5 linked regions of the Ovis aries genome follow. The main gene of each other region encodes a partner of the protein of the gene in region 2 in a complex. Links are inferred from orthologs where the notes say so. Each region holds a gene or a part of one and is shown on either strand. Other genes may lie near its edges.

Region 1 (5,702 bases), on a different chromosome or scaffold from region 2:
TGACCCCAGGGTTATAGCTGTCAGCTCAGTTATAGCCTTCAGTTGAGGAGTAAACAAGAAAGCTAAGCCAGTCACTATAGCCATGAGAATCCCAGACTCTGATTGGTCAATTTTGAGGTTTTACAGACCTAAAACCGAACATCGGAATTAAAGGCCTTTCTTTTTTTTCTTTTAATGCCAACTAGAATAGAGGATAAGGTTAAATTTGTTAAGACAAACTGAAAATCATTTATATAGCTTCAGTTTCTTTGCCCCTACTTCTAGCTCATTTGCCTCATGGTGAATACATTCTCTGCTTTAGGTATTTTCATCATTGCTGTTATGGATTTTGGTTATAGACAAGCAACATACCACAGAAATGGAGGCTTCTTCCGTTAGGTCTTGCCTTCCCTTCAGTCTGTAGCCGTGGTTTTCTATAGTTCACTCTCTGGCTTCCCTCACTCCACATTAAAAGAAAATATCTCACATTAAACATAAAATTCAGATATTACCTTTAACACATGTAGGCACAAAATATGTATTCTTTCTCTTTTCTCTGGCCTCTTTAACTCTGTATCTTCTAAGATTAAAATTCTGAAATATTTGTTATTTATTTTTTAGTCCTATGCTTTGATTATATTTTTCATGCTTCTGATCTCAAAGTACAGTATTTCTTGGAGCTTGTCATGGTTAAATATTCCAACCATTGACAAGGGGCCCAGAAATTTAGTAGTCAGCTACTCAATAAAGTAACTTAGTATATGAGATAAATATCTTGATGTTTTTATCTATTGTCATCTCAGTATATTGTCATGGTAGAAGTTTAAAACCACCACCATTTATTTGGTCATGATTCTGTGGGTTGGCAGTTTGACTCAGCTCAGCAGAGTGGCTCTTCTGCTATTCTCACGTAGGATCACTCTGTTTCTCCAGTCAATCTAGCAGGTCAGCTTCCTCACATGTCTGGCAATTGGTGCTGGTTGTTGCTTAGGGCATCTTGACCTCTTTTCCTCTAATAATCTAAACTCTGTTTTTGCATATGATAGTAGACACATACCAAGAAGGCAAAAGCAGAAGCTGAAAGGCCTCTTGAGTCCTAAATCTCCAGACTTACACAGTGTCATTTTCACCACATCCTCTTGTCGAACATAGTAAGTCACTGGGTTAGCCCAGATTCAAAGGATGGGGAAATAGACTACCTGATGATGGCAGGAGATTTAGATAAGGAATTGTTACAAGCTTGGGCCTGTCAGGTGTCATACTACATCTGGGGCCTCATTTTCTACCTGGTTGCTCATCTGTATAAATGGGCCATCAAGGAGGTACATGTGCTCATGTGCTACAGTGTTACTCAACTTCTGGCCATAGTATTTATAAACAGTATTTGTTAAAAAAAAAAAAAAAGTGGTCAAAATTCAGTGAAAATATAGGAAAACACTAGAATAACTTAAGTATCCAGAGATACAGAATACTAGTCATCTAAAGTTTAAAGAGTAAAAAATAGTGAACATATGAATTATTTTATTAATTTGTCATTAAGTAGATGATTTAGTTCTAAGAGGTGAGTTAGAACCAGTTTTTATCAGTGTGCCCACAACATGACAGGCACTGGGCTTATGACATAACAAATTTATTCCTCACTGCAGTTTTATGAGATGAACCCCCATTTTTCATCTATATTCAGATGAAAAAGCTAAGAATGACTTCAAGGAATTTATCTAAAATTGCACAATAAATAACATGACGAAAAGTTGAACTCAAGTCTTATTTGACCCCAAAGCCAATACTAGGTTTTCTCATTTGGCTTTCCAACAAAAGGTATTTCTATATCATAAAACAGTAAAACTGATGAATAAGTTTTAGTAGAGTTGAATCCTCTGCTGTGTTACCACTTTACAGTAATTAAACCTGGTGAATGTCAGTGAGCAATTCTACATGTATGGTGAAAAAAGCAGAGATGGTGCCATGTATTTTAGTCCACGATCGTTAAGTCTCAACAAATGAAGAATTTTGTTAAAGATGCTAAATAAATGCCCTTTGTATGATACAGATAGCTCTGATAGTATTGTTATCCTACAATTATATATTCTAGTTATAGTAAGAAATAATAGTAAAAAAAAAAACAAATCTTTTTCATCCCCTGAAATCTTACAAATTACGTTTGTGTGATTTAGGAAGCGCTATAGAAATGAAGGGAGTCCTAGCCCTCGTCAGTCACCTAAGCGCCGGCGAGAGCATTCTCCTGACAGTGACGCCTACAACAGTGGGGATGATAAAAGTAAGCAGAATCTGTGTTCCCTGTTTCTAGAGTCAGACTCACTTGCAACCATGAGACAATTCTTTTACATCAATAGGGAATGATGAATTAAGATTTAAAATTTTTACTTGCTCTGCTGCTTCTGAATATATCACATTGTGACTAAAAACAACTATGTGTTTGAAATATGTAGTCGTTTTACCACAGTGGCACTTGTCATTTCCCACTAGTTGTAGTAAAGCCGTACTTCGGTTTTTACTGAAATTATTGCTATTTTTAAACTTTTAAAATGAAAAGGGAGACACTGGTTTGTTACTTATAGGTAACATGCAGTATTGTTAACATGATGAAAGTTTGATGACTTTTATCTTTTGGTCTAGATGAAAAACACAGACTCTTGAGCCAGGTTGTTCGACCTCAAGAATCACGTTCTCTTAGTCCATCACACCTTACAGAAGACAGGCAGGGTAGATGGAGAGAAGACGATCGTAAACCAGAAAGAAAAGAAAGTTCAAGGCGCTATGAAGAGCAAGATTTCAAAGAGAAAGTTTCTTCTGTAGATAAGCAGAGAGAACAGACAGAAATAACAGAGAGCTCCAGAACTCGTTCACAAGACCTGACAGGACACCACCCATCTGAAGATCGAGACACTTCTGATGGAGCTTATGAGGAGAGCAAAAGAAAAGCAAAGATTCAGAAGAAGCCTATTAAGAGAAAGAGAGACGATGATGTTGGAATGGGGAGGGGTAACACAGAGATAGCGTCTGAAGATGCTCAAGTATTTTCACCAAAAAAAGGACAGAAGAAGAAAAGTGTTGAAAAGAAGCGTAAGAGGTCCAGAGGTGATTCTGACATCTCTGATGAAGAAACGGTGCAGCAGAGTAAGAAGAAAAGAGGCCCGAGGACTCCGCCTATCACAGCCAAAGAGGAGCCGGCTGACATGCCCAGTGATAAGGATGGCGCTCTGGAGGACCCTCAGAAGAAAGAGGATACAGCGTTCAGTGACTGGTCTGATGAGGACGTGCCTGACCGCACGGATCTGACGGAGCCAGAGCATGCCGCCACTGCCGCCACCCCTGGAAGGACCCCTTCGCCGTCTTCTCTCCCTCCTCCCCCGCCTCCTCTGTCTGCTACCGCGGCCACCCCTGCCACGGCCTTCAGCACATCGACCACCACCATCTCCACCTCCGCCCTCCTCACCACCAATACATCTTTTACCAGTGAAGACTCCCATAGGAAGTGCCACAGAACACGAGCGGAAAAGGTAGAGGCGCCTCATGTTACTATAGAAGACGCACCGCATCGCAAGCCAGTGGATCAGAAGCGGAGCAGCAGCCTCGGCAGCAACCGGAGCAATCGCAGTCACACGTCTGGCCGTCTCCGCTCCCCATCCAACGACTCTGCTCATCGAAGTGGGGATGACCAGAACGGTCGAAAGAGAGTGCTGCATAGCGGCTCAAGAGACAGAGAAAAAACTAAAAGTCTGGAAATCACAGGAGAGAGAAAATCCAGGATTGATCAGCTAAAGCGTGGAGAACCTAGTCGAAGTACTTCCTCAGGTAATAAAAACAAATTGTAACCTAACCAGTGTTTCTTATGTGAGTGTATTTTGTACATTTTTATGTTTTGTTCAAATTATAATTTTAAAGTAAATGATAAGTTGTTTATACACTGCCTTAAATTTTTTCAAGGAGCTTAAAACGCTTAGCCATCCCACCATGATGTTACCTATTATCACATTAATACCAGTAGAGTAGAGGTACATTCACTCACTCAGTTTAACACCAGCATCTTAGTATATCTTGGTGGAAAGCACTTACATGTTCAGGTTCTCTATTGATGCCTAAAAATTTTAACCTGGTTCTGCTTCTTGCAACCAGTGCTTTTTCTCTGTTGACTGTGTAAATGAGGTAGGGGGAAGAGGAGGAGGTACATAATGAAATGGTCAGTTCTGTTAATGCTTACTTATTTTTACATATTTCTTTAAAGATCTTTTGTGGTTATAGTGGAAATAAGGAAACAAACATGCTTTTTGCATATTTGACACTACTGAAGAGTGGTGGATGTTTTTCTTTGAGATGAATTTTTTCCTTAAGATGAGTTCTTTGGATAATCTAAAATAAGTACCGAAAAAGAGAAATTGTAAATTTTAATTTATCATGTGTTAAGTCTTTGTATATGGTACATTGATTTTAGATCGCCAGGATTCAAGAAGCCATAGTTCCAGAAGAAGTTCTCCTGAGTCAGATCGACAGGTCCATTCAAGATCGGGGTCGTTTGACAGCAGAGAGAGGCTTCAAGAGCGCGACCGTTATGAGCACGAGAGAGAGCGGGAAAGGAGGGACGTCCGGCAGAGAGACTGGGAGCGGGATGCCGATAAAGATTGGCCCCGGAATAGGGAACGGGATCGACTGCGGGAACGAGAGAGGGAGCGGGACAAAAGGAGAGACTTGGACAGGGAGAGGGAGAGACTACTCTCCGATGCCCTGGAAAGGGACCGGGAGAGGGACAGGGACAGAACGTTTGAAGGTTCTCAAGTAGAGTCTGTAAAACGCAGTGAAGTCAAACTGGAGAGTGACCATGACAGAGACCTAGAAGGCGGCTCCCGAGACTCTGGAGCTTTGGATAAAGAAAGGCTGGATAAAGATCTGGGATCTGTGCAGGGATTTGAAGATGCAAGTAGAGCTGAGAGGACTGAGAGTGTGGAAGGTGAGTGTCACTCCTTTCCGTCTGTTTCTCTCCCCCGTTTCGTCTCAAATCTCATAGGAAACCAGTACTTCCTTTTGAAGGGTTATCTGATATGATGATTGACTCCATTGTTTTAGGGAAAATAGATTTTGTAAGGAAAAGGCCTGTGATACTTAAAAAACTTGTACTCGTTAGTACTTTTAAGGTAGACTTGGTTCTAATAAGCCTAAATGAGATAAAATTATAGTCATCCTTCAGTCTGTCAGTATCTGCAGGAATGAGTTCCAGAGCCCGCCACAGGTAGTAAAATCTGTGGATGCTCAGGTCCCTTATTAAAACTGACTACCAGCTCGTAGAATGAGGGACTCTGAGAAGGCCACGTACACCCTTTTTCCCAGTCAGAGTCAGCCTCCACTGCGGCCCTCTGTTGTCCATCCTTCACCCCCAGCCTGCTGTACAAACTGACTCACCTCTGTTCTCTGGATGGTCTCCCTCCTGAAGCCTTCTCTGAGCCTGCTCTTCCCATTGCCTGACAGACTTTTTCCCTTCTATCTTTTCTTACTCAAACAGCAAGTCCCAGTTTATAGATTATTTCCTCTGTGAAACCGTCTCTGCTAAAGGTGCTCTTTAAAATTGACAAAGCACCTTGTTTATACATCTTTAATAGCATCTCTGCACCATATTGTAAATTATTTTTCCATGGTTCTCTCCCCATTATATTGTACTCCTTTGTTAGGCACCATAGGTTTTTATTTCTTTATCTTCACGCCTCTAGCAA
Region 2 (6,385 bases):
GTGAAGCCTGGAGCTTTCCTGATGATGCTGGGTGTACAGCGTCCCCTTGGGGGAGATTCACTTTGTTCTGTTGCCCATTTAACTCTAGGACTTCAAAGTATGTCTGGGATTTTTTTATTAAAGGAAGAAAATTTCTAGCTGTCCTTGAAGAATTAAAGTGAATACTGAAATAGGGTTTTACCCATGATGAAGATTTCACCGGTTTATGCTTTCCGGTTTACAAGAGTTTTCAGGTATATTCACATTTGTCTCTCAACCACCAGGCAGTGCTGGGATGCCAGGACAGGACATGGGGCCTGCCGGGCTGTGCAAGAGTGGAGAGGTTCTCAGGGAGGAGGTGGGGCTTGATACCCCCAGGGCACAGGGACTATCTGGAGAGGGGGCTGGGTTGCAAGCAAGACGGGTTTAATGCAGTTTTCTGCAGTGATGACTTCAGTAACTGAGTATGTTCAGTACTATCACATTCTGAAGATACTCGGCCTGGCTACCTCCATCAGCCACTGTCCAGATCTGGCCATCTGCTTGCTCAACTCAGTTTGTGGTCCAGTGTCAACCCTAAGCTTCTGGTACCTAGTTGGGATTTTGCAAGATTGGCAGGAGCTGGTTTTTACAAAGAGCCAGTGAGAGGCTGTCTTTTGCCTTTGTTTACCCAAGATAGGCCTAACAGTTGAAGTCCTGAAAGGGTGTCCCTGGAGTCTGGTTTTTTAGTTGCTCTTTTGGGGGTTGGTGCACAGGAAACCCAGTGACCAGCATGAACTGTGACTCAGATTGCTCCTCCTGCCCTCAGAGACCACCACAAGGGGAGGACTAAGAAACTGCGTGCATGCTCTGACCTCGGGTCACGTCATTTGTGCAGTTCCTAAATTCAGTTTGCCAACGTAAAGGGCCCTCAGCCGGCTGTGGGGTTCACTAATGGCTGTGAGCAGCAGGCCCACAGTTTTCAAATCTGAGAAAAGTAAGAATGCACTTGTTAGGCCAAGTGTTCCCTATTTGGAGGAATTAGATGGGCTGTTATGATCAGACAAGCAAAGTGTTCTGAGCCCCTGAAAGGTGTTGAGAAACTGCATGGCTAGAACCAGCAGCTGAGTTCTGGTGGCCTCTGTGTCCTCCAGGTTACATCAAACAGGGAGGACAGCCCAGCTGCCACCTGAGGGTGATCCCCAATGTTATCTTTAAAAGGGTTAACTCCTGGAAGCCGCCTAGGAGACCTGGAACGTTAACAGGTGTTTCTTGTAAGACGTTAATCTAGTGCACCTGCGTTAGCTGCTGCAGGCGCTCCTCGCAAAGGCTTCTGGTCGTGGGAGGGCAGAAGCGCATGCGCTCTTCCCCACGCCTCGGTTTCTGTGGCTTTAAGTTGGGTCAGGTCTTGTGAAGCCTCTGGTTAACTCTCCATGGAAAATGAAAGTTTCCCTGAGGGGGCTTGGCACCTGAACAGGATTTCTCCATGTCACCACCATGGAGGTGGATACGAGAGCACTGGCCAGGGAGAGGTAAGCATGGCAAACGGTAGCCTCTGGGTTCGGCCTTCTCTTCCCCCTTGGCTCCGTGACCCTGCCCTTACAGCCCTCTGTGTACTCGAATGCCCAAGCGGACCCTGTTCCCACCCTAGAAAGTGAAGTCTCTCAGTCGTGTCCGATTCTTTGTGACCCCATGGACTATCAGGCTCCTCTGTCGTGGGATTTTGCAGGCAATAGCACTGGAGTGGATTGCCATTTCCTTCTCCAGCGGATCTTCCCGACCCAGGGATCGAACCCAGGTCTCCCGCATTGTACAGACGCTTTACCGTCTGAGCCACCAGGGAAGTCCACCCTAGAAACCACAGGTTTTGGATTTCTGTGCCCAGCCAGGGACCCAACAGGTCTCACCGTCGTGCATAGCCATGGTTCTCAAGGCCTTTCGGGCGGCTGCCACGAGTGAACATGAATGCAAGGGATATTCGAGATACGGGGTGTGGGTTCAGGTTGTTAATGCCGGACCCAGTCAGTAGATGCCAAGGAAGGGCTTAGAGGTGGTCACCCAAACTTAGTCCTGGGATTGGGGGAGTATACTATAAAGTTCAAGGCCTGGAACACCCACGCCTGTGAGGCCTCTCTCCAGAGCTCCAGTTTCTGTGGAGCCCCGGGCCTCGGCCACGCCATCCACAAGGTGGCGCCAGAGCTCACAGTGCGGGCGTTCTCGCCAGCTAGCCACAGGGTCACGTGGTACGGGGCGGCGCAGCCCGATGACGCACGCCCGGCGCTGCCCTCGCCCCGCCCTCCATAGGGTCACGTGGTCGGCCGGCGCAGCCTGATAACGCGGCGCCCCGGCCCTCAGCGCAGCTCCCGCCCCGCCCCGTCGCCGCGCCGAGTCCTTTTGTCCAAGATGGCGGCGCCGGGGGCGCTGCCTCCTCGGCCGCCGCCGCCGCCGCTGTGAGGGGCCTGCGGGCCGCCCGCCCGCCAGCCGCGCCGGCGCCATGAAGAGGCAGAGCGAGCGAGACTCCAGCCCGAGCGGGCGCGGCTCGTCATCGTCGGCCAAACGGCCGCGGGAGCGCGAACGGGAGGCGGAGGCGGGCGGGCGGCGGGCGGCGCACAAGGCCTCGGGCGGCGCCAAGCACCCCGTTCCAACGCGGGCCCGCGACAAACCTCGCGGTAGCGGGGGCAGCGGCGGTGGGCATCGCGACGGCCGAGGCGCCGGGGACGCGAATCACCGTGCGAGCAGCGGCCGCTCCTCGGGCTCGGGCGCCGGCGGCGGGGGACGCGGCGGCAAGGCCTCAGGGGACCCAGGCGCTTCGGGCGCGTCGCCCCGCGCATCTCCACTACCGCCACCTCCGCCGCCGCCCGGGGCCGAGCCCACGGGTCCCGGCTCCTCAGCGGCTGCACCCGAGTACAAGACGCTGCTCATCAGCAGCCTGAGCCCCGCGCTGCCTGCCGAGCACCTCGAAGATCGGCTCTTCCACCAGTTCAAGCGCTTCGGCGAGATCAGCCTGCGCCTGTCGCACACGCCTGAGCTGGGCCGCGTGGCCTACGTGAACTTCCGGCACCCGCAGGACGCGCGTGAGGCCCGCCAGCACGCCTTGGCCCGCCAGCTACTGCTCTACGACCGTCCGCTCAAGGTGGAGCCCGTGTACCTGCGAGGCGGCGGCGGCGGCGGCGGCGGGAGCAGCAGGCGAAGCAGCAGCAGCAGCGCCGCCGCCTCCACTCCGCCCCCGGGCCCGCCCGCGCCCGCAGACCCGCTCGGCTACCTCCCGCTGCACGGCGGCTACCAGTACAAGCAGCGTTCGCTGTCCCCGGTTGCCGCCCCTCCGCTGCGGGAACCCCGCGCCCGCCACGCTGCAGCAGCCTTTGCTCTAGATGCGGCCGCGGCCGCCGCCGCCGTAGGCCTATCCCGGGAACGGGCCTTGGACTACTACGGGCTGTACGACGACCGCGGGCGACCCTACGGCTACCCGGCCGTGTGCGAGGAGGACCTGATGCCCGAGGACGACCAGCGGGCCACGCGCAACCTCTTCATTGGGAATTTGGACCACAGCGTGTCAGAGGTGGAGCTGCGACGGGCTTTCGAGAAGTACGGCATCATTGAGGAGGTGGTGATCAAGAGACCCGCCCGTGGGCAGGGCGGTGCGTATGCCTTCCTCAAGTTCCAGAACCTAGACATGGCCCACCGGGCCAAGGTGGGCATGTCGGGTCGGGTGATAGGCCGCAATCCCATTAAGATAGGGTACGGCAAGGCCAACCCCACTACGCGTCTCTGGGTGGGTGGCTTGGGACCTAACACCTCACTGGCGGCTCTGGCCCGGGAGTTTGACCGTTTTGGGAGCATTCGGACCATTGATCATGTCAAGGGAGATAGCTTTGCCTACATCCAGTACGAGAGCTTGGATGCAGCCCAGGCCGCCTGTGCTAAAATGAGGGGCTTTCCCTTGGGGGGTCCGGACCGCAGGCTGCGCGTGGATTTTGCCAAAGCAGAGGAGACTCGGTATCCCCAGCAGTACCAGCCCTCCCCGCTCCCTGTGCACTATGAGCTACTCCCCGACGGGTATACCCGGCACCGGAACCTGGATGCCGACCTGCGGGTACGGGACAGGACCCCTCCGCACCTCCTGTACTCAGATCGAGAGCGGACCTTTTTGGAAGGGGACTGGACCAGCCCCAGTAAAAGCTCTGACCGCAGAAACAGCCTCGAGGGCTACAGCCGCTCAGTGCGCAGCCGGAGTGGTGAGCGCTGGGGAGATGGGGACCGGGGCCTGCCCAAGGCCTGGGAGGACAGGCGGAAGCGCCGGAGCCTCTCCAGTGATCGCGGAAGGGCCACCCACTCCCCTTACGAGGAACGGAGCAGGACCAAGGGTGGTGGGCAGCCTGCGGACCGAGGCTCCGACCGCACCCCGGAGCGTAGCCGCAAGGAAAACCATTCCAGTGAAGGGACCAAGGAGTCCGGCAGCAACTCCCTCAGCAACAGCCGACACGGGGCGGAGGAGCGGAGCCACCACCACCACCACGAGGCTCCCGACTCTTCCCACGGGAAGAAGACCCGAGAGAGCGAGCGCAATCATCGGACCACTGAGGCCGAGCCCAGGCCTCTGGAAGAGCCAAAACACGAGACCAAAAAGCTCAAGAATCTTTCAGAGTATGCCCAGACGCTGCAGCTGGGTTGGAATGGGCTTCTGGTGTTGAAAAACAGCTGCTTCCCGACATCTATGCACATCCTAGAGGGGGACCAGGGGGTGATCAGCAGTCTCCTCAAAGACCATACTTCTGGGAGTAAGCTGACCCAGCTGAAGATTGCCCAGCGCCTTCGCCTGGACCAACCCAAGCTCGATGAGGTCACACGGCGCATCAAGCAGGGGAGCCCCAATGGCTACGCAGTGCTCCTGGCCACGCAGGCGACCCCCAGTGGGCCTGGCTCTGAGGGGATGCCTGCGGTGGAGCCTGGCCTACAGAGGCGGCTTCTCAGGAACCTGGTCTCCTACTTGAAACAGAAGCAGGCTGCAGGGGTGATCAGCCTGCCAGTGGGTGGATCCAAGGGCAGAGACAGCACAGGCATGCTCTACGCCTTCCCGCCCTGTGACTTCTCACAGCAGTACCTCCAGTCAGCGCTGAGGACACTGGGCAAGCTCGAGGAGGAGCATATGGTGATAGTCATAGTGAGAGACTCGGCCTAGCCCAAGCCTGGCTGCGCCGGCCTGTCTGTCACTCAAGCAGTTATTTTAAAGTCTGACGCGGCTGCCCTGCACCCCCTGGCCCATCGTACACCCTTGATTTGAATTCTCTGCTGGGTTACTCCATTTCATTTGGTAGGGGACCAAAGTCCTATCTCCCCACCAAAAACTAAGTTCTTAGGTTTGGGTTTTTTTTTTTTTTTTTTTTTTTACCGTGATGAGAAGGGACTCCTGTCGTGTCGGCTTCTAGTGTATGAAATACTGTCTGCTGTGTTCTGTATTTTTTTATTTTTTGACTAACTGTATGGAAAATTGTCAGTAAAGCCTTTGTCAGAGGATGGATTTTTAATCCTGTTCAGAGTCCTGGTTTAATCATACGATTTTCTCGAAGGATGGAAGACTGTCCCCCGCTGCCTGCACACAGATAGGTGCCTTCCGGCATCTTTCCACTGCCGGTGTGTCTCCCAGCCCTGCTGCACTGGTGCCTGTCAGCCCCCAGCTCTTGGGGCTGTGGCGGGGCTCCATTCACAGGAGTTTCTAATTTGGTCTGAGAGCAAGTGGGTTTCATTTCAGACCCTGCCATGCAGCCTCCAGAGCCCACTGCACAGGAAGGGGTTAAGCCTAAGTCTAGCTAGCCGCTGTGGTGGTGTCTTTTTTGGTTTCCTGCCGTGAACAATCTGTGTGTCCGTCAGGTTGAAGAAAGCACCTAGTTTGCAGGCGTTTTTGAAAGCAGGTAGACCTTAGACCTTCGCAGTCGTGGTGTGGTAGTCATGGGAGGAGCAGTGCAATATTGGGGTCTTGGTGCCTGGATGTGCCCAGCTTCCTCCCCTCGTTAGCCTCCCTTCCCCCCTTAACGCAGCAGCCTGCGGATACCCAGGTGGAGACCACGCTCCTTCGGACTCCCAGGGGCACCGGTGGTCCCACGTTGGAGTGGAGGGTGGGAGGCCACTTTCCTTGGTTAATCCCTGAACTTTTCCCAGTGCTTGTGAATCCTGGCTTTTCTTACGATCGTTCAGGGCTGGTGTGGGCCTCTGCCCGGGCACTGGAGCAGACTGAGGGACATGGGACCTCTGGCCTGAAGAGTTTTTGGTGGAGGACAGTGGGTTAGGAAGATGCTCTTGTAAACCGACATAACTTTCTTTCTCAGGTGCAAGGTGGGCGCTGGTGCCCAGGGCCTCCTGCCCTGATACTGCTGAGGTACGGACCACTGGAAAATGGGGTTCCTCTCTGGGGAAGTGTCACAGTTGCTGA
Region 3 (6,355 bases), on a different chromosome or scaffold from region 2:
TTAAAGGATATCTAGATTTTCTTTATAAAAATAAATATCTGAATTTGTAATATAAGTCAGGGATAAATAAAAGTTCGTACGTATGTTTGTGTTTTGTATGTTGACTCTCAATCACCTATCATTTCACATGTTACGGAATAAATGACTTGGGAAATCAAAGCATTAGCATTTAGTAAGAAATTGCTTCCTTATCTTTAGCTGATGAAAAGTTAATCTTGGCTTGAGATTCCATGATATACCACAATAGTTAAATGGACAGTGTGACAAAAGGCCAATTAGAAACAGGCTTAAAATTTAAAAGAATCAACATTCAACTATTTAATCAAAACAGACCATGATTCTCAATTACAACTTTTCACATTACATGCACTATAAAACTTATTACTCCCCAAGGCACTTTTTTTTAGCACAAGTGACAAGCACAATAACCACCTAAATTAACCTAAAGTTAATTCTAGATTCATAAAGACAATGGATATACCAGGTTCTCAGAACAATCTATCAGAAAAACAGAATGACTGGAAATATTATTTGGGGTTGAATCTTGAAGGGGAAAAAAAAAAAAGAATATATACCTAAAGCTGTGAATCACTAGCTAATCAGCTCAGATTATAACAGCTATTAATTTAAAAACTAGGGGGTTAGGATCCCAAATTTAGTGCTTCTTAAAAGTTGGTACCAATGAGGACAGGTAATTCTTCCATTCCTCCATCCTTAATGATGATCAAGCTTTGCAAACTGGAGAATGCAGAAAAGCAAAACAGAAAAAACCAATTTAGCTGCCCTTAGCAAGTTGAAAAAGACTGGCTAAAACATGGTTTTAAGTTTTATGTAAAGGTTTGTTATCCATGTGGATAACACAGTTAATACAGTTAAAGTGTAGAATGTCAAAAGTACCTTCTACTCTTGATGCCTTTACACTGAGAAATGACATTATGATGTTAAGTTCAGTTCTGGTTGGTTAGGTACCTAGCATCCCATATCCCAGGGCTTCCCAGCTTTTAGCATTATGATCCTAAGTCATGAAATCCTGTATCAGGAAGATCCACTGGAGAAGAGAGGGGCTACCCACTCCAGTATTCTTGGGCTTCCCTTGTAGCTCAGCTGGTAAAGAATCTGCCTGCAATGTGGAATACCTGACTTCAATCTGTAGGCTGGGAAGATCCCCTGGAGAAGGGAAAGGCTACCCATTCCAGTATTCTGGCCTGGAGAATTCCATGGTCTGTACAGTCCATGCGGCTGCAAAGAGTCGGACAGGACTAAGCGACTTTCACTAGATGGTGTGGGCTTCCAAGGTGGCGATAGTGGTAAAGAACCCGCCTGCCAATGCAGGTAGACAGAAGAGACACAGGTTCCATCCCTGGGTGGGGAAGATTCCCTGGAGGAGGGCATGGCAACCCACTCCAGTATTCTTGTCTGGAGAATCCCATGGACAGAGGAACCTGGCAGGCTGCAGTTCATAGGGTCGCAAGAAGTCAGACAAGACTGAAGCGACTTAGCACGTACCAGATGACACAACTTCAGTAACAAACCAGTACCTTGCTGAAACTAATCGTAACTAAATGCAAGAAACTAATAATCTGACACTGTACTAATCAAGGCACAACAGCAGAAAGGGTACTAGCTAGGAATTGGAAGACCAGCTTTTCTTAACTTCGTAATAATCAGTCATGTGATATTGAGCAAGTCATTTTCTTTAGATTGCAGCCTCTAAATCAGCAAAGAGGATGCCAATTTTGCCTGCCTCACCAAATGCTACAAATCTCAGTGCTTTAAGTACCATAAAGATGCTCTACAAACAAATATATTTCAAATAAAATACTAATATTAGCATAAGAGCACTTAGAAAAAATTAAATTCCACCAACTACATTTTCAAGACTTAGGACCGTTTCTTTATAGCATGGAGTTCTAGCCTGATGCACCACCTTTATATGTAATGGGATATAGTGTTAGAGGAATATTGAGAAGTTTTGTTCTAGTAAGCTTAGTACTAGAATATATTTAAGCCCCAGGTGGCTCATCTACCTGCAAAGCTGGAGACACGGGTTCAAGCCCTGGGTCAGGAAGATTCCCTGGAGAAGGAAATGGTAAGCCACTCCAGTATTCTTGCTTGGGAAACTCCATGGACAGAGAAGCCTGGTGGGTTACAGCCCACCGGGTAGCAGAAGAGTCAGACAGGACTTTTAGAGGCAGAATAATGGGAGATAATTAATAAAAACAAAAATAAAACCAAATACTGTTTAGGTCTTGTTTTGCTAAAGGATCCCACAGAAAATTTTTAAGAAAAATCTTTTTCAACAGCAAGATAATGTTCTATTGTATGAAAATGATCGAGACTCTAAAATAAACAATATTTCCAGGGGAACTGTGTATTACATATATACATACTTAGATGAACGTAAGGGACTCTGAGTGCTGTAACGGACTGGACAAATATAATTATTACAACTCTCCTCTCCATGCCACAAGGCTATGAATTTTCTGTATACCAACTCATTTCTGACAAATACTCAAAATTCAAACCGGTGAAGTTCTATAAGTTAGATGAGTTAAGTAAAAAAACTAGCTGTGCCTGGGATACACTTGATCATCATTACTTTTGTCAGTTGGGACTTAGAAATTTAGGTAGTTTGCCTAAGTTCTGCTACTGGGAAGTGAAAATACTGATCACTTAGCTATAGCTAACTACTGAAGATAATGTAAGATATGAAAGAACTGTAGGAATACAGCGAAACAAATCATTGAAATTTAACCTCATCTTTATCACACGCCGCATTTTCTTTCCCCAACTTGCCTAATCAGATGATACTAAATGACATATATAAAAAATAAATAAATAAATGACATATGTAAATGTGTAACAGGCATCGTGCAAAGATTTTCACAATACTTTTCTTTTTGAAGAAACTTGTGGTGACAGACCTGTGACTTCCACTTATCCTCCTTAGTGATGGAACCAAATTCTTAAGTAGAAAACTATATGAACTCAGGACCATAACATGCTCATGGAAATATTTTTCTACCTTTCTCTAATCTCGGCAAAAGAATCATTGCTTCCCTTATGAACACGGTTATTACGGATTTTAACCTAGTCCTTTGGGATCAAATATCCAACCTGACTTCATCAAAACAAACGTGGACATTTTTCCACTACGTGTTCCCCACTGACTAGAGAAATGCGGTTTAGAGAGATCCAAGGCGAGATTTTAAAATTTCACGAAAACCTTGAATTCAGTCAGTATTTATTTTAGTTAGAAGGCATGCACTCATTTAAAAATGGAAGCCTACAAGACAACGCAGCTGCAGTAGGAAGCTACTGCGCGACGTGAAATGTGCTTCACGGACGCGGCTTTCCTCCCCTCGGCTCGTCGGTGCCGCCGGTCCTCACGATCCTGCCGAGGGAGGTGGGGGAGCCCGCGACGCCGAGGGGGTGACGGGACGCGCGCTCCGAGGGGACGGCCTCCCGGCGTTGCCGGCCCCGCGGGAGCGCCCACCTCGCCCCCGGCTCCCTGAGAACCGAGGTAAAATGGCCTCGAGACGGCGGAAGTGTCGTCCCTGCCAGCGGGCAGACGGCGGGGCTAACGGGAGGCCGGGGGGCCCGGGAACCCCGAGTCCGCCTCCTGCGCTCAGTTGGCCCCTTCCGGGGCCGGGCGGCCGCACCTCAGCCGCCTGGGGACTCGGAGGTCCTCGCCTCCGCTGCAGCCGGCGGCGGCCCGCACCTACCTCTCCAAACGGAGGCCGCGCCGGCGCCCGCCCAGTCACATAGGCCGACCCCGCGCTGTCCTCTCGCCGCCCAGGCCGCCCGACCGCGCCGCCGCCGCCGGCCCCCGCGCTCCTCCTCCGCGCCGCAACCCCGGCGCTCCCCTTTATTTGCGGGTCTCGCTGCCACAAAATGGCGCTGAGGGAGGAAGCGAGGCCCCGACGCCCCACCCCCTTCCCGCTCCTCCCGCCGCCCCGCCCCGCGCCGCCGCTGGCGCCCGCCCGCTTCTCCGCCCCGCGGAGTTCGCGCCCGGCCCACTCACCGACGGGTAGTGCTTCCCGGACGCGGTCGCGGCTACCCGCCCGCTGGGCCCCGCCGCGAGGAGGAGAGGCTAAGGGAAGGCGCCTGCCGGGAGGCCTGCAGTCGCTCAGGGAGGAGCTGCGCCCGGCGGCACGCCCCGCGGCCGCTAGAGCCCTTGCAAGCTCGCCGGAGGGGAGGGGAGGGGGGCGGGGAGAAAAACCGGCCTCAGGGAAAGGCGAGCCGCGAGGTCGCAGGTCAGCCGCGGGGCATCACGGGAAGGGCGGCGGGGGTCGCGATTGGCGGCGCTGGGTGGACGCGCTCGCCGGGCCACCTGCGGCTGCGGCGCGGCCTCCGGCGGAGGAATCTGGACGAAGGCAGTGACTGATTGGCTGCCCTTTGGTGCAGCGCCCAGCGATGATGCTTCCGCGTGCTGGCGGGCCAGGTGCAAGTCTCCTGAGGACGGCTTTAGGCAGCGAATGCGGTCAGTCTAGATGTCGCGAACCGTCGCTGCTCTAGGTTTTGATACTTTAGAAACCGATGCCCTCTCTTCATCCTGGAAGTGGACGCTTGGTTCGACTGCTCCTTGAAATCTCGAGGCGAAACCTGGGAGCTATTGTCTGGGAGGTGGAGATTGTACTTCTGTCTGCTGCTCTGGGGGCACCTTGCTAACTCAACCTCCTGAGTTCTTTTTGTCTTGTTTCGTTTGTTTCAGAAAGTATCTTGCCATGAGTGGCGAGCAATAATAAACAATTTTTCTTAACATGACTTATGTTCCATGGCTTACTCTACCCTCTGCTGCTGCTGCTGCTGCGGGTAAGTCGCTTCAGTCGTGTCCGACTCTGTGCGACCCCATAGACAACAGCCCACCAGGCTCTGGGATTCTCCAGGCAAGAACACTGGAGTGGGTTGCCGTTTCCTTCTCCAATGCATGAAAGTGAAAAGTGAAAGTGAAGTCGCTCAGTCGTGTCCGACTCTTAGTGACGTTATGGACTGCAGCCTACCAGGCTCCTCCGTCCATGGGATTTTCCAGGCTAGAATACTGGAATGGGGTACCATTGCCTTCTCCTCTCCCTCACTGCAAGAGACTGCAAAGTCCACTTCATTCCAGGCCTAGCAACAGGCTCACTGTCTGAAACGTTAAGGTATTATCTATATCAGGGCACGGTGGGGGCTCCTTTTGGTCCAGAGACGCTGCATTTAAGTCACCGGCCTCCCTGTCATCATACAGGATAGTTGAGTAAGAGATGAGAGACAATAAATAGCCCCTAAAGAACCCTCTAATACAAATTTTAATTCAGATACCCTCCCTTACACGATCAACTGGTCTATCACAGAACCATGGTGTTGTCTGGTGGATGTTAGACTCTTAAACTTACTGGAGGAGTCAGATAGTCTTTGCATTGGGCTCCCCTTATCCAGCTTCACCAAAACCGTTTATCCCCAAAGGAGGTGTTCTGGAATGAGGTGATTTATAAGGATAAAAGTACAGTATACGCTTAGATGCTTTTGAATTGTGCTGGAGAAGTCTCTTAAGAGTCCCTTAGACAATAAGGAGATCAAACCAGTCAATCCTACAAGGAATCAACCAAATGGTCACAGGAAGGACTGATAACTGAAGCTCCAGTATTTTGGCCACCTGATGCAAAGAACCGACTCTTTGGAAAAGACCCTGTGGCTGGGAACGATTGAGGGCAGGAGGAGAAGGTGACAACAGAGGATGAGACAGTTGGATGGTATCACTGACTCAATGGACAAGAGTTTGAGCAAACTCTGAGAGATAGTGAAAGGATAGGGAAGCCTGGCGTGCTGCCGTCCATGGGGTTGCTAAGAGTAGGACACGATTTAGCAACTGAAAGACAACAAAGTATACTCTAGGTGGTCAAAGACCAAAATTTGAAGGGAAAAATGGACAAAGACATGAGTAGACATTTCCTGCAGAAGAACAGCAATGACTGGTAAACAGGAAAGAACTGTTCATGCTCACTTATAATGGAAATGCCCACTGAAATGACAAGACTGTGGAGAAACAGTGCTTATGCGTTTTCTGGTGGGAATGGGAAAATGATTCAAGCCCTATGGAGTGCCAAAATTATGTATGCACTTATTCTTAGGTCTTGCAGTTTCAAGTCTAACCCTAACCTTACTCTGAAAAGACAACTTCACATACAGAAAGAACATGTGGGCAAGGTTACTTGTGACAGTGTCATCACAAAAGTTTGGAAATAAATGTCCATTAATAGGGAACTGGTTAGACATGATACATCCATATCATGGAATACAATGCCGCCAGAAAAACAGAATGAGGGTGATATCTGTTACCTTGAAATACGTGCCAGGCTATTTGGAAAATTGG
Region 4 (5,652 bases), on a different chromosome or scaffold from region 2:
GTAACAGTAATGAATTGTGAGTTTTAAAATAGTGTAACATTATTTTACTGTGTCCTTCTGATTTATTTTAAATATTTGTAAGTTCATTAACTTAAGACTACCAGGGAAGAAGGCTGCTTATATTAAATGTAGAGGATACGTATTCTTTCACTGCCATGAAATACTTTGTGGAGATAATAGGATTAGGTGAAACGTTGTACAGTATTCTTCAGGAGCTTTTAACCTGTAGGAACCATGAATGTGCATGTATATGTTTTTTGGGGAAGGGCCAAAGTTTTCATTGCATTCTCACAAAGAGCTTTGTGACTGAAGAAGGTTAACTGTTGCTTTTATGTAACTAGTACTTAATATATGTTCATTTTAACCAACAGTTCTCAAGTACCTTCCATGTCTAGGTCACTGCGCTCACTGTTGCTTTTTATTGAAATATTTTAATTTGCTCTAGAATATTAACTGTAACATGTCTCTGTTTGCAGATTCCATGCAAGCATGTGTTTTGCTATGACTGTGCTATTTTACATGAAAAAAAGGGAGATAAGATGTGTCCGGGGTAAGATCATCATTAAATTTTTAAATAATAAGGATTGTGATATAATGATTTATGATCTAGGTTAAAGGTGAGGATATGATATAGACCGTTGGCAAGATGTCAAGTGTGTAGACCTGGCAAATGTTTCTCTGTGAACCTAGAGTTGGCTATAACCTTCTCCTTAGGATAGGGCTAATTAGCTATTATCAGTTAATTCACATTGGCCAAAATAACAATAATAAATACATCACAAAGTTAGCATTATAAACCAAAAATACTTTCTTATTTTAATGGGATGCTAGACAGGTAGTATCATGTAGTGATTTCGAGCAAAGACTCTGGAATTAGAATTATTGGATTCAAATCTTTATTTTGTGATTTATTTTGTCACATACATGATTTCTTTATCTGTAAAATGGAGCTAATAATAGTACTTACCTCCCTGGGTTATTATTAGAAGTAAATGAGTAGCAGATAGCAAGTACTATGTAAGTATAATCTCTTTATTTATTGACTTCAAATCTGATTATGTCTTGAGTACATCTTACAACACCTTCATGTTCTAAGACAGGCTCAGACAAATTAAGACCATAGGGAGGTGTTGATCGATAGTGATCTTTTTGGGAATAGTAAGGATCCAGAATAAACTATGAATTTTTATATCAATTCAGAACCCCTGATAGAAGACTTAAGAAAAACCTTGAGAGAAACTTCTTTGGGAACAACTGTAGGCTTTCTAGGTCACTTATAACCTAAGTTAGAACCTATCCCAAGGGTTGTAATATTAGTTGATAATAAAATTGTGGACAGTTGTAAGGGATAGTTTTCTTTTATGGTGTAGGAAGATTAGCATCTGTGGGAGAGAATGAAGATTCATTAACAAACCAGTAAGAAGTAATTCTCTTAGCATATTTTATTAGCCCTTTAAAGTCATATATTATAAATTTTATAGTGTGAGTTTAAAGAATATTTTCTCAATAGAATTATAATTCAAAAGAATTAGGAAATTGATAGTGCATATTCACTATTTGCCTCAGTTTCTGTAGTGCCTGATTTTCCAACACAGTGTACATCCGCTTAAATTCTATAGTAAATTTGATTGCCTCATTGAGATAAGGGATTTTGGATGTTGTAAAACACCATGTAGAGGACATCAGAAGGTTTTCTCTTTTATGTAAGTGTTTTGATGTTAATATTTAAAAGGGAATTTAGTTTTCAAGTTTTTCAGTGTAACTTCAGTAAGCATATCACTGGTTGGCTTGTTAGGGATATTAAAACAAAAGCTTATCTGGATTAACAGACCTGGGTCAGAAAGTGAAGAAATGACAACCCTAATTAATGTAAATATTATATACTAATGCTTAAGCCTCACCCAAAGAAATACACCCCACCTCCCAATCCTGTTACTGTGGAGCTATTTCAGAGTTTATAGCAAATTAGAAGCAAAAAATGAGAAGTGTGCCAAATGGCCACTAAAGGGAAGCCTCCTAAGTATGAAGAAGTAGTACCAGCCTACAGTGAGGAAGAAACACCAGCCACCACTCCAAATCAAGAATATGGAGCCATTTGATACAGGTCATATGACCGGATCCACATATTCAATGATGATAGCTTATACGTGTTTAGTGCTTAACTAATCATTAAGTCCTGTCATTTTCACTGTTTCATTGATGTTTCAAATGTTCTTTTAAGTAGGGTGAAGTCTATATAAAAGCATTATGAGTTAGATTAGATGTTATAACCCATTTTACAGATAAAGAAACAAAGTTTAAATGACTTCTCCAAGATCTCAGCCAATACTAGGTCCCAGTTCCAATTCCTAGTTCAGTCTTCTTTCTGTTGTTTCAAGAAGCCTTCTAAAGGCAAAAGTGGATTAAAAAACAGCAGATGAAGAATAGTTACAATTTGACCCTGACTTATTAAGAAAATAATTGAGTTAAATTTAGTGTTTATAATTTAGAAAAGTAGGAGTGTGTAATACTTTGTAGTAGTAGATTTGTCTGACAATTCAGGAAGACTCCCTCCTTGAAAGGACTCTTGGCATTCATGGTTTGAATTTGAAATATTGTTTAATATTAAGAACCTTGATCGTTAGGATGATCCTGTTTATTTTTGTAGTTCTTACAACACCTTTCACTTAGTATCTTCTACGTAGTATTATTTGCTCATAAAATTGCTTACTGGTCAATAAATACTCTACAGGTTTGCATTTTGTGATTCTGACAAGATCCTTTGGTTTGCCCTTCCTGGAGTTTTGGGGTTTTTTGCACACGGATTCAAAACATAGAATTGTTTGTGAAATCAGATAAATTCTAAATCTTGGTAAGAAAAGGGTTTTGCTTCAAACCTACTCTGTTTGATAAACACTTTAAATTTTTTTCTTAAGAATTTTGATGTTGACAGAAATGCTGATGCTTAATAGCAAACAAACCACAAAGTGGAAAAGATTAAAAGTTCACTTACATAAACTATAACTTTTAATTGTGAACTTTTTGCAATGTTTTCCATAATAAAATTTAAAACTAGTCATATCTTTGAAATTTAGTGCATTATTTTTATAGTCTGTTTTTAGTAAATCAAACTTTTTTCCCCTTCTGATTTAGCTGTAGTGATCCTGTGCAGCGAATTGAGCAGTGTACACGAGGTTCTCTCTTCATGTGTAGCATTGTTCAAGGGTGCAAGAGAACATACTTGTCTCAGAGAGACTTACAGGCTCATATCAACCACCGCCATATGAGAGCTGGAAAACCTGTTACCCGGGCTTCACTTGAAAATGTTCATCCTCCTCCTATTGCCCCACCACCAGCTGAAATCCCCGATCGTTTTATCATGCCGCCAGACAAGCACCATATGAGCCATATTCCGCCAAAGCAGCACATCATGATGCCACCACCTCCTTTGCAACATGTGCCCCACGAGCACTATAATCAGCCACACGAGGATATCCGTGCTCCTCCAGCTGAATTGTCCATGGCTCCTCCTCCACCTCGCTCAGTCAGTCAGGAAACCTTTCGTATTTCAACAAGAAAACACAGCAATTTAATAACTGTCCCTATTCAGGATGACTCAAATCCAGGTGCTAGAGAACCACCACCTCCTGCCCCCGCACCTGCTCACCATCATCCTGAATATCAGGGTCAACCAGTGGTCTCGCACCCTCATCATATTATGCCTCCACAGCAACATTATGCACCACCCCCACCTCCTCCACCACCAATAAGCCATCCAATGCCACATCCTCCCCAGGCCGCAGGTACTCCTCACTTGGTGTACAGCCAAGCTCCACCTCCACCAATGACCTCTGCTCCACCACCAATTACCCCTCCCCCTGGACATATTATTGCCCAGATGCCACCTTATATGAATCATCCTCCTCCAGGACCTCCCCCACCTCAACATGGTGGTCCACCTGTAACTGCACCCCCTCCTCACCATTACAATCCCAACTCTTTACCCCAGTTCACTGAAGATCAAGGAACTCTGAGCCCTCCATTTACACAACCAGGGGGAATGAGTCCTGGTATATGGCCTGCACCGAGAGGGCCACCTCCTCCTCCACGAATGCAGGGTCCGCCTTCTCAAACCCCACTACCTGGACCACATCATCCAGATCAGACAAGATATAGACCGTATTACCAATGATAATAGTATTCTGAACTGATGATATGATGAGGAAACAAAACTTATATGTATAGTCAATCTTTTCTTTAAGCTTTGACTGTTCGGGGAAGGAAAAGCGCCTCTTGCTGAGGTGGCTGTACAACACTTAGGGTCTTGTCTCTTAAAATGGTTTTAAATCTTGACCTTAGGATTGATTTCAAGTACTATACTGTAGTGCAGTTAAGTGGCTCAGTTGAGCACAGCTATATTTTAAGAACTTTGTTCCCCTAGTGTGGTAAATTGACCCAGAGGTGACCATTTGTAAAAAAAAAAAAAAAAAAAAAAAATTGAAAACATTTTTCCATTGTTCCACTTTCAAAAGTACGTCTTTTGTTAAACCCAATGTTTAAGTTTTTCTTGTGATACATTTTGTTAACCTGTGTAAAAGGATTAAACTTCAATATGGTTGTAAAAATACTATTTTTATGTGAACTTAAGTGCAGCCACATACTGTTTTTTAAACCATATGTTTTACCACTAATTTCCCAAAGTTACAATAAAATCCTAAAAGTAAAAATCTAATAGAATTTACTGTAAGGCAGACTGTTAAATGGTAGAAAATTATTTCACATTTTAGGCACTGAAATTTTGAGGTATATTAGGTATATAATGCACTTCACTTGGATGCCTTTTCATTTATAGGCAGCCTCAGGAGCACCAAAATACATTGAAATTCCAGTACTAAGAATATTTATGTCTGTAATGTTAAGAGGCATTGCTTGTATTTTTGGAAAGATAGGGCCAAAGTAATCAACTCTGTAGGCTCCAAGCTGTTGGGGATGCTGTTACTCATTAATGCTTTTTACCGAATGGTTGGAGTCATATGCATCACACTTATTAACCTTAAGTAACATTTTATAGAACTGTATAAGTGGTATTCTTTAGATGAAGTGTGTTCCTCTCTGCTCATTGTCTGAAACTAAATATTTTGGGCTGAATAGGCTTTATGTAATTCCTCATTTCATGGTAGAATTTGATCCTGTGCTTAAGTGGATTCTTGTTTATTGGGTTTTAAAGTATAATTTGAATGCCATGGAGGAATTTGAATACTGTATTAATGAAGGATGTTCTTGTAATCACATACTTGCGTTGCTCAGGTTTCATTACTGTATGATAAGGTGTTTTTCTCTAACTTAACATTTAAAAACTATTACTGACTTCCTGTTTCTTTCATTGGTTAAGCAGTCTAAAACTTGGAACATTTTTTTAGCATAGAGTCAACAGTGAAGACTACCAGATGATTTTCTATTGAAGAGAAAAGTAATGTCTAAATTGTGAATTTCAATGCATTATAAGGTGCCTTCGGAGTCAGCTTTTGCATTCTAGGGGCTTGTTACAGTCCAGCTAAGATGACCACTTACAGTTTATACAGAATTCATATGTATAAATCAACATTCTTAGGATATTACTATATGTCCTTTGAATACACCCCTGTGAAGTACTTCCTCCCCCCTAAAATGGTG
Region 5 (6,259 bases), on a different chromosome or scaffold from region 2:
CCTGACCCCTACTCTGTTTCATTGGAAACCATATCTACTTTCTGTAAGGGGAAATGCCTTTTAACCTTCTTCCCATGAAAGTGACTGACTCCACTCCCTTCAGTTCTCAGATAAATACACGTCACTTTCTCAGAGAGTTCTTCCATGAACACTAGAGAGAACAGGTAGTCTCCTTGCATTTTTCTCTTACCTCCTCATTTTCTCATTCAGATCATAGTTCTCATTCAGATCAAAATACAAACTAATTTTGTTTTACTTTTGTTTATTCCCTATTTATATTATTTTATACTTTATATTTGTACACATCAATTATTTTATGTTTACTTTTGTCTACTTCTTCCCCCACTGAATTGTTAGCTCACCGAGGAAGAACTCTATCCTGTTGATATCTAATGTTCAGGAGCTATTATAAAGTCTTACTTATACTAGATGCTCAATAAATATGTGAATAAACCAATGAGATTTCTTGCCAGGGCCTAAATTAGAATACGATGTTTTATAAGACAACGTTTTAAATCAAATTGTGCTTACATACATAATCGTCTTCTTGTATTCCAACTTTTTTTAAATTGTGGAATGACTGGAGTAATTAAACAGACTTTTTCCATTGTGGGTGTGTATATGTGTGCGCTCAGTCGTGTCCAATTCTTTGTGATTCCCCCTTGACTGTAGCTCACCAGGCTACTCTGTCCATGGAATCTTCCAAGCAAGAATACTGGAGTGGGTTGCCATTTCCGCTGTGGTAGCACTAAATATGTTATTTGAATAATTATGACAATTTGGTATCCTCTGAAAGTATACTACTTTTAAAAACAAAGCTACAAGTTAAAGAGCAGGTGTAAATTACTGGCAGCAGCATCAATGGCCACAATCATAGTGTGTGCCTATACACTGCCCGGTGGCTCAGACGGTAAAGCGTCTGCCTGTAATGTGGGAGACCTGGGTTCGATTCCTGGGTCGGGAAGATCCCCTGGAGAAGGAAATGGCAATCTACTCCAACACTCTTGCCTGGAAAATCCCATGGACGGAGGAGCCTGATAGGCTACAGTCCATGGGGTCGCAGAGTCAGACACGACTGAGCGACTTTACTTACACACTGCATCTGATATCTTCATCCAGCAGCCAAAAGCAAATCAAGTAAATTACATACGCTGAGTTGTGCTCTACTTTGAAGTTCACGAATCAACAAAAACTTATTAAAAACTAACTTTGGGTAAGAAACAAAGTTAGGGTAGAAGATTAACCCAACTGGAATTGTCTGTACGAGTTAGTGATGTACAGCAGTGGCCTCAACATTCAGTCAGGACAATGGATGCACAGAGCGAGAAAAGCCTAAACCAGGGAGTTCCAGACCAAGTTTCATCACAAAGTTCTGCCCTGGGCTGTGCCATAAAGGATAGACAGAAATCAGAAAGAAAGGATGCTTCTTAAAAATTACAATGTCTATATTACACAAACAACTTTCTGGAGAGCAACCAGTCTGTCTTGTTCACATAGTCAGTGAAAAAAAGGCTTCTGGTAAAGTGGAAGTCTACTATTGACTATACTGGCCATCCTCACCCAGGTGGAATGGTATCTAACCAGTTATTCCAAGAGGGAACCAGGTGTATTGGCAAGAGCACAGAAAGGCCTAAGACCGAAGCTGGCAAACTTAAGTTTTGTCACCTTCAGCATGTAAGGTAAATTCTTTGAGCTTTATTTTCTTCACCTATAAGATCCAGATAGCATCTGACTTGTATGATAAAATAACATACGTAAAAATTTGTCAAGTCCCTTGACACATAAAATGGACTTAATAAATGGCAGCCATTATTAAATGCTGTACACTATTTAAGTTCTCTAAAGGTAGGATAACCTATCATTCATAGCGGACTTACCAACATCTGCAAGAGTTCCTGGTACATAGTAAGACATTGAAGAAATAATTTTTTATGTATGTATTTTGAGTCAAATATCGGTCTGAATTCAAAACTTAAGTGTCAAAATCTTACTTGGTTTTAATAAAGAGTCACTGAACATTTTCAAACATAACATGATAAAAGCAATTGGGATAAAGAAGGCTTGAAAAAGATACCTGATTTGTCAAAAAAATCATAATGTCAGAGGCACAGGAACAGACCTAATTCCAAACACCCACTTTTTTTTTTCGTTTTGGCTTACACCACGGGGCTTAAGGGATCTTAGTTCCCAGACCAGGGACTGAACCCACGCCACAGCCATGAAATCGCAGAGTCCTAACCAGTGGACCAACAGAGAAGTTCCCCAAGCACCGACATTTTAAACACTATACCATAAATCTTTTCATCATGTCATAAAAGAAGCTATATCTTTGATTTTCATTTACTAAAACCAAGATTCATTACAGAAAAAAAAATAACTATTTCTGAATAACTATTAAGATCCCTCATTAAAGCTTATGAGCATTTCCCCCATCACTGTTACTGATCCGAGGGGCAGAAAGGAAAAGACAGCCTCTGACTTTAAGCAAAGGTGGCATCTGCATTTTCTGCATATGCACTCTACTAATCAGCACGTGTCAATTTACACGCCAGCCGCGGTGAAGACAAGCTTTGGAGAGACAAACCAGGGTTCAACTTACTGGCCCAGCGGTTAACGACTCGAGGGAAAAATTCGTTAGCCACCGGCGCCCGTGTCTCATTACGTGACGATAACGCTACCTCTTTGAGAGATCTGTTGTGACTGAGGAAAGAATTCAAACATTTAGCTGTGGGTAATGACGAGGATACCGTATACAACACAGTCGACTGCAACACCCACGATGCAGAACCTAAAATTTACACTCCGGCTACTGCCAACGCGGTCTTTGGATATTATCCCAGGAAAAAACACTGTAAACCTATTTCACAATGAAGCCACAGTCTCATGAATCAGGCGCTGATACGAGAAAAGGCAAGACACAAAAGACTATTTAAACAGTGAAGAGAAATTGAGGGGCTAACGACTCCCCTTTCCTCGCGTGAACTGCGATAACTTACACACAAACACCAAAGTTTTGTATCCTCATCACTGAGGATGCCAGACCCCTGGCGGGCATTCCACACAGGATGCTGAAGACCAGGCGTGGCGGTCGGCTTAGCACCACCGCAAGGACCACAACATGAAAGGGGAACGATTCGGGGTAGAGAGGGTAGAGAGGTCCTGGGATTAAAGTCGCAAGACCAGGAAGGGCTGCCGGGTGGCAGGCGAGGAGACGGAAAAACGGGGAGAAAGGGACGGGGAACGCGGCGCACGCGCATTCGCGACCCCTCCCTGGGCCGCGGACCTGCTGCGCGAGAAGCTGTCGACGTAACTTCTGCCGCTCCCGGATCTCCTGCAAGCGGCTGTCCATATCCCGACTTGTTTTCCACTACCTCGAAAACTTGGCAATTAGCGGATGAACCCTTGCGCCAATTTCTCTTCGGAATCTGTGGATCACAAAATTTTCCAGCCGCTTCAGGAGGCGGGTACCCAATACCCTCTCCTCAGTAGGTGTTTCCGGCGCGGCCGGAATTTTGCGCCACGGACCACGGAAGTCCCGCCTCCCCATGGACGCCCGCGATTTGACGCCGTTTAGCAGAGGCCCAATGAGTGTCCTGCGGCGCCCGGGGCGTCACGGAAGGTAACCGCCCTGCAGAGAGCGCGGGCTGTCACAGTGGTGCGGGCAGGTGGCCTGGCTTCTCACTGCCCTCTCCTGGGACTGCAGGCTTCCTAGGTCTTATAGCACTGTTTCCGAGTTGTGGGCCGTATTGTCGATTCCCTTTTCCAGTAATTCCCCAGTGGCCAGTGCTGGCGTTTTAAAAATTGCTGGATACCAGGTTTTTTGCTAAAAGCACAGACTCGAGTCCGATTGCCAGGTTTAAACTTAGGACTGTCCTTTACTAGCTGAATGGCCTTGGCTAGTTAATCACCCTCTGTGTGCCTCTAGTTTTCTCATTTGTACAATGGGAGTGATAAGAGGGCCTACTTTACAGAGCTGAAGATTGAAAGAATAAGCAGAGCTAAAAGCATACCACCATGAAGGTGTTTATTGAGATTTTTATTATTACTTATATTTCCCTTTAGGCAGGGAACAGCAGTGCAGGAGACATAAGAGACACGGGTTCGATCCTTGGGTCAGGAAGATCCCCTGGAGGAGGGCACGGCAACCCACTCCAGTTTTCTTGTCTGGAGAACCCCAGGGACAGAGAAACCTGACAGGCTACAGTCCATAGGGTCGCAGAGTTGGACAGGACTGAGTGACTAACACTTTCACCTTGACATTTTTGTCCTCTGTTACAGTTCAGTTTAGTTGCTCAGTCGTGTCCAACTCTTTGGGACCCCAAGAACCGTAGTTCGCCAGGCCTCCCTGTTCATCACCAACTCCTGGAGTCCACCCAAACCCGTGTCCATCAAGTCGGTGATGCCATCCAACCATCTCATCCTCTGTCGTCCCCTTCTCCTCCTCCCCTTAATCTTTCCCAGCATCAGGGTCTTTTCAAGTGAGTCAGCTCTTTGCATCAGGTGGCCGAAAGTATTGGAGTTTCAGCTTCAACATCAGTCCTTCCAATGAACACCCAGGACTGATCTCCTTTAGGATGGACTGGTTGGATCTCCTTGCAGTCCAAGGGACTCTCAAGAGTCTTCTCCAACACCACAGTGCAAAAGCATCAATTCTTCGGGGCTCAGCTTTCTTTATAGTCCAACTCTCCCATCCATAGGAAAAACCATAGCCTTGACTAGACGGACCTTTGGGGGCAAAGTAATGTCTCTGCTTTTTAATATGCTATCTAGGTTGGTCATAACTTTCCTTCCAAGGAGTACATGTCTTTTAATTTCATGGCTACAATCACCATCTGCAGTGATTTTGAAGCCCAGAAAAATCAGTTAATCACTAAAGGGATGCTGTCTATACACTTAAATTATACATAAACGGCCTATCTCTGGGAACCCTGCTTTCCAGGGAATGCGCATTAAGCTAAAATCTTTCTCATAGGAAACATCCGGAGCAGACCCACCTGTGAATCACTGCCAGGAGAAAGAGATTAACACATCCCTCTCCAGAGGCTGATAGGAAACAGAAAGCGTTTGACTTTACTCCCTCCACTTTTACTATAAAAAAAAGCCTAAATTCTAACTCAGGCAAGATGGTTCTTTGAGGCGTGAGCCCACTCTCTTCTTGCTTAACTGATTTTCCAAAGGAAGTCATTATTCCTTGTCCCAGCTACTTGCCTGTTGATTACTGGCCTTTTGTGCAGCAAGCAGTATGAGCTTAGACTTGAACAGATGGGTCAAAGGAAAACAAGTCTTGGTTGTATTCTAGAGGTCAGATGCCAGGGGACCCCTTTTTTGTGCTTGTGCATTTGTCTTAGCTGGAAATAACCCTGAGATATAAAAACATAGTCTACTGAGATAACATGCTTGTAGAAGGGGGCTCAGTAATGATTCTCCCCTCTTTATAGAAGGCAGCAAAGACGAAGTCTTAAGTTATTACAGCTATGCACCATATTATCATCTTATTCCAAATTCAAAGTACTAGCAGAAGTAGGCTAAGAAAGTCATGTAGCTCCATGTTTAGTTGGAAATTGTGGCAAGTACTTAGTAACATTAGTAACAAGTCTATATTCTTCAAGAGGGGATTTACTTTTTGAAAATAGTATTAAACCCTACAGATCAAAAGCAAGTGGTCCAGGCTAGGCCAAAAGGGCTAAACTCAGTAACAGGTGGGTCATCGTAAAACATGTCTTGGTTCATGTTCTAGAGGTCAGATGCTAGGGATCGCCTTTTTGTGTATGTCCATTTGTCTTGGCTGGAAATAACCAGTACTAGACTCTACCAATCGTCATGAATTTCTCAATAAGTAGTTCTGAAAGGCAGTTTCAAAAAAGGAGTCCTAAAAATCCTTTGAGTAGTGGCAGCACTACTTGAAAAAGTATGCTGACTTCCAAGGGCCCTATACTGTAAAAGACAATACACTTGCCAGTCACATGAGTACTGATTTGAACTTTTATTGATCTAAATAAATGATGTAAATAGACATTTTGTTCACTCAAATATGCATTGACATTAACTGAGCATTTTATACAACAGACAGGATGATGGACCTTCAGGTATGCTGCTGCTGCTGCTAAGTCGCTTCAGTCATGTCTGACCCTGTGCAACCCCATAGATGGCAGCCCACCAGGCTCCCCCGTCCCTGGGATTCTCTAGGCAAGAACACTGGAGTGGGCTGCCATTTCCTTCTCCAGTGCATGAAAGTGAAAAGTGAAAGTGAAGTCGCTCA

The links.
Region 1: RBM15B (region 2) and ZC3H13 share a complex: the UniProt entries of both Homo sapiens proteins name them as parts of the WMM complex. The link is inferred for Ovis aries from reciprocal best matches to the Homo sapiens genes RBM15B and ZC3H13.
Region 3: RBM15B (region 2) and WTAP share a complex: the UniProt entries of both Homo sapiens proteins name them as parts of the WMM complex. The link is inferred for Ovis aries from reciprocal best matches to the Homo sapiens genes RBM15B and WTAP.
Region 4: RBM15B (region 2) and CBLL1 share a complex: the UniProt entries of both Homo sapiens proteins name them as parts of the WMM complex. The link is inferred for Ovis aries from reciprocal best matches to the Homo sapiens genes RBM15B and CBLL1.
Region 5: RBM15B (region 2) and METTL14 share a complex: the UniProt entries of both Homo sapiens proteins name them as parts of the WMM complex. The link is inferred for Ovis aries from reciprocal best matches to the Homo sapiens genes RBM15B and METTL14.

The regions. Positions count from the first base shown.
Region 1 is NC_056063.1:16,422,786-16,428,487, reverse strand, and holds part of ZC3H13 (zinc finger CCCH domain-containing protein 13), read left to right. Parts: intron 1-2,153; coding exon 2,154-2,257; intron 2,258-2,616; coding exon 2,617-3,795; intron 3,796-4,432; coding exon 4,433-4,945; intron 4,946-5,702. UniProt on the Homo sapiens protein: Associated component of the WMM complex, a complex that mediates N6-methyladenosine (m6A) methylation of RNAs, a modification that plays a role in the efficiency of mRNA splicing and RNA processing.
Region 2 is NC_056072.1:49,434,652-49,441,036, reverse strand, and holds RBM15B (putative RNA-binding protein 15B), read left to right. Parts: upstream 1-2,344; 5' UTR 2,345-2,452; coding exon 2,453-5,137; 3' UTR 5,138-5,483; downstream 5,484-6,385. UniProt on the Homo sapiens protein: RNA-binding protein that acts as a key regulator of N6-methyladenosine (m6A) methylation of RNAs, thereby regulating different processes, such as alternative splicing of mRNAs and X chromosome inactivation mediated by Xist RNA.
Region 3 is NC_056061.1:83,743,025-83,749,379, reverse strand, and holds the start of WTAP (pre-mRNA-splicing regulator WTAP), read right to left. Parts: upstream 4,369-6,355; 5' UTR 4,025-4,368; intron 3,900-4,024; exon of another isoform or gene 3,726-3,899; intron 1-3,725. UniProt on the Homo sapiens protein: Associated component of the WMM complex, a complex that mediates N6-methyladenosine (m6A) methylation of RNAs, a modification that plays a role in the efficiency of mRNA splicing and RNA processing.
Region 4 is NC_056057.1:50,283,660-50,289,311, forward strand, and holds part of CBLL1 (E3 ubiquitin-protein ligase Hakai), read left to right. Parts: intron 1-476; coding exon 477-550; intron 551-3,132; coding exon 3,133-4,171; 3' UTR 4,172-5,652. UniProt on the Homo sapiens protein: E3 ubiquitin-protein ligase that mediates ubiquitination of several tyrosine-phosphorylated Src substrates, including CDH1, CTTN and DOK1. Targets CDH1 for endocytosis and degradation.
Region 5 is NC_056059.1:7,055,702-7,061,960, forward strand, and holds the start of METTL14 (N6-adenosine-methyltransferase non-catalytic subunit), read right to left. Parts: upstream 3,507-6,259; 5' UTR 3,350-3,506; coding exon 3,284-3,349; exon of another isoform or gene 3,254-3,283; intron 1-3,253. UniProt on the Homo sapiens protein: The METTL3-METTL14 heterodimer forms a N6-methyltransferase complex that methylates adenosine residues at the N(6) position of some mRNAs and regulates the circadian clock, differentiation of embryonic stem cells and cortical neurogenesis.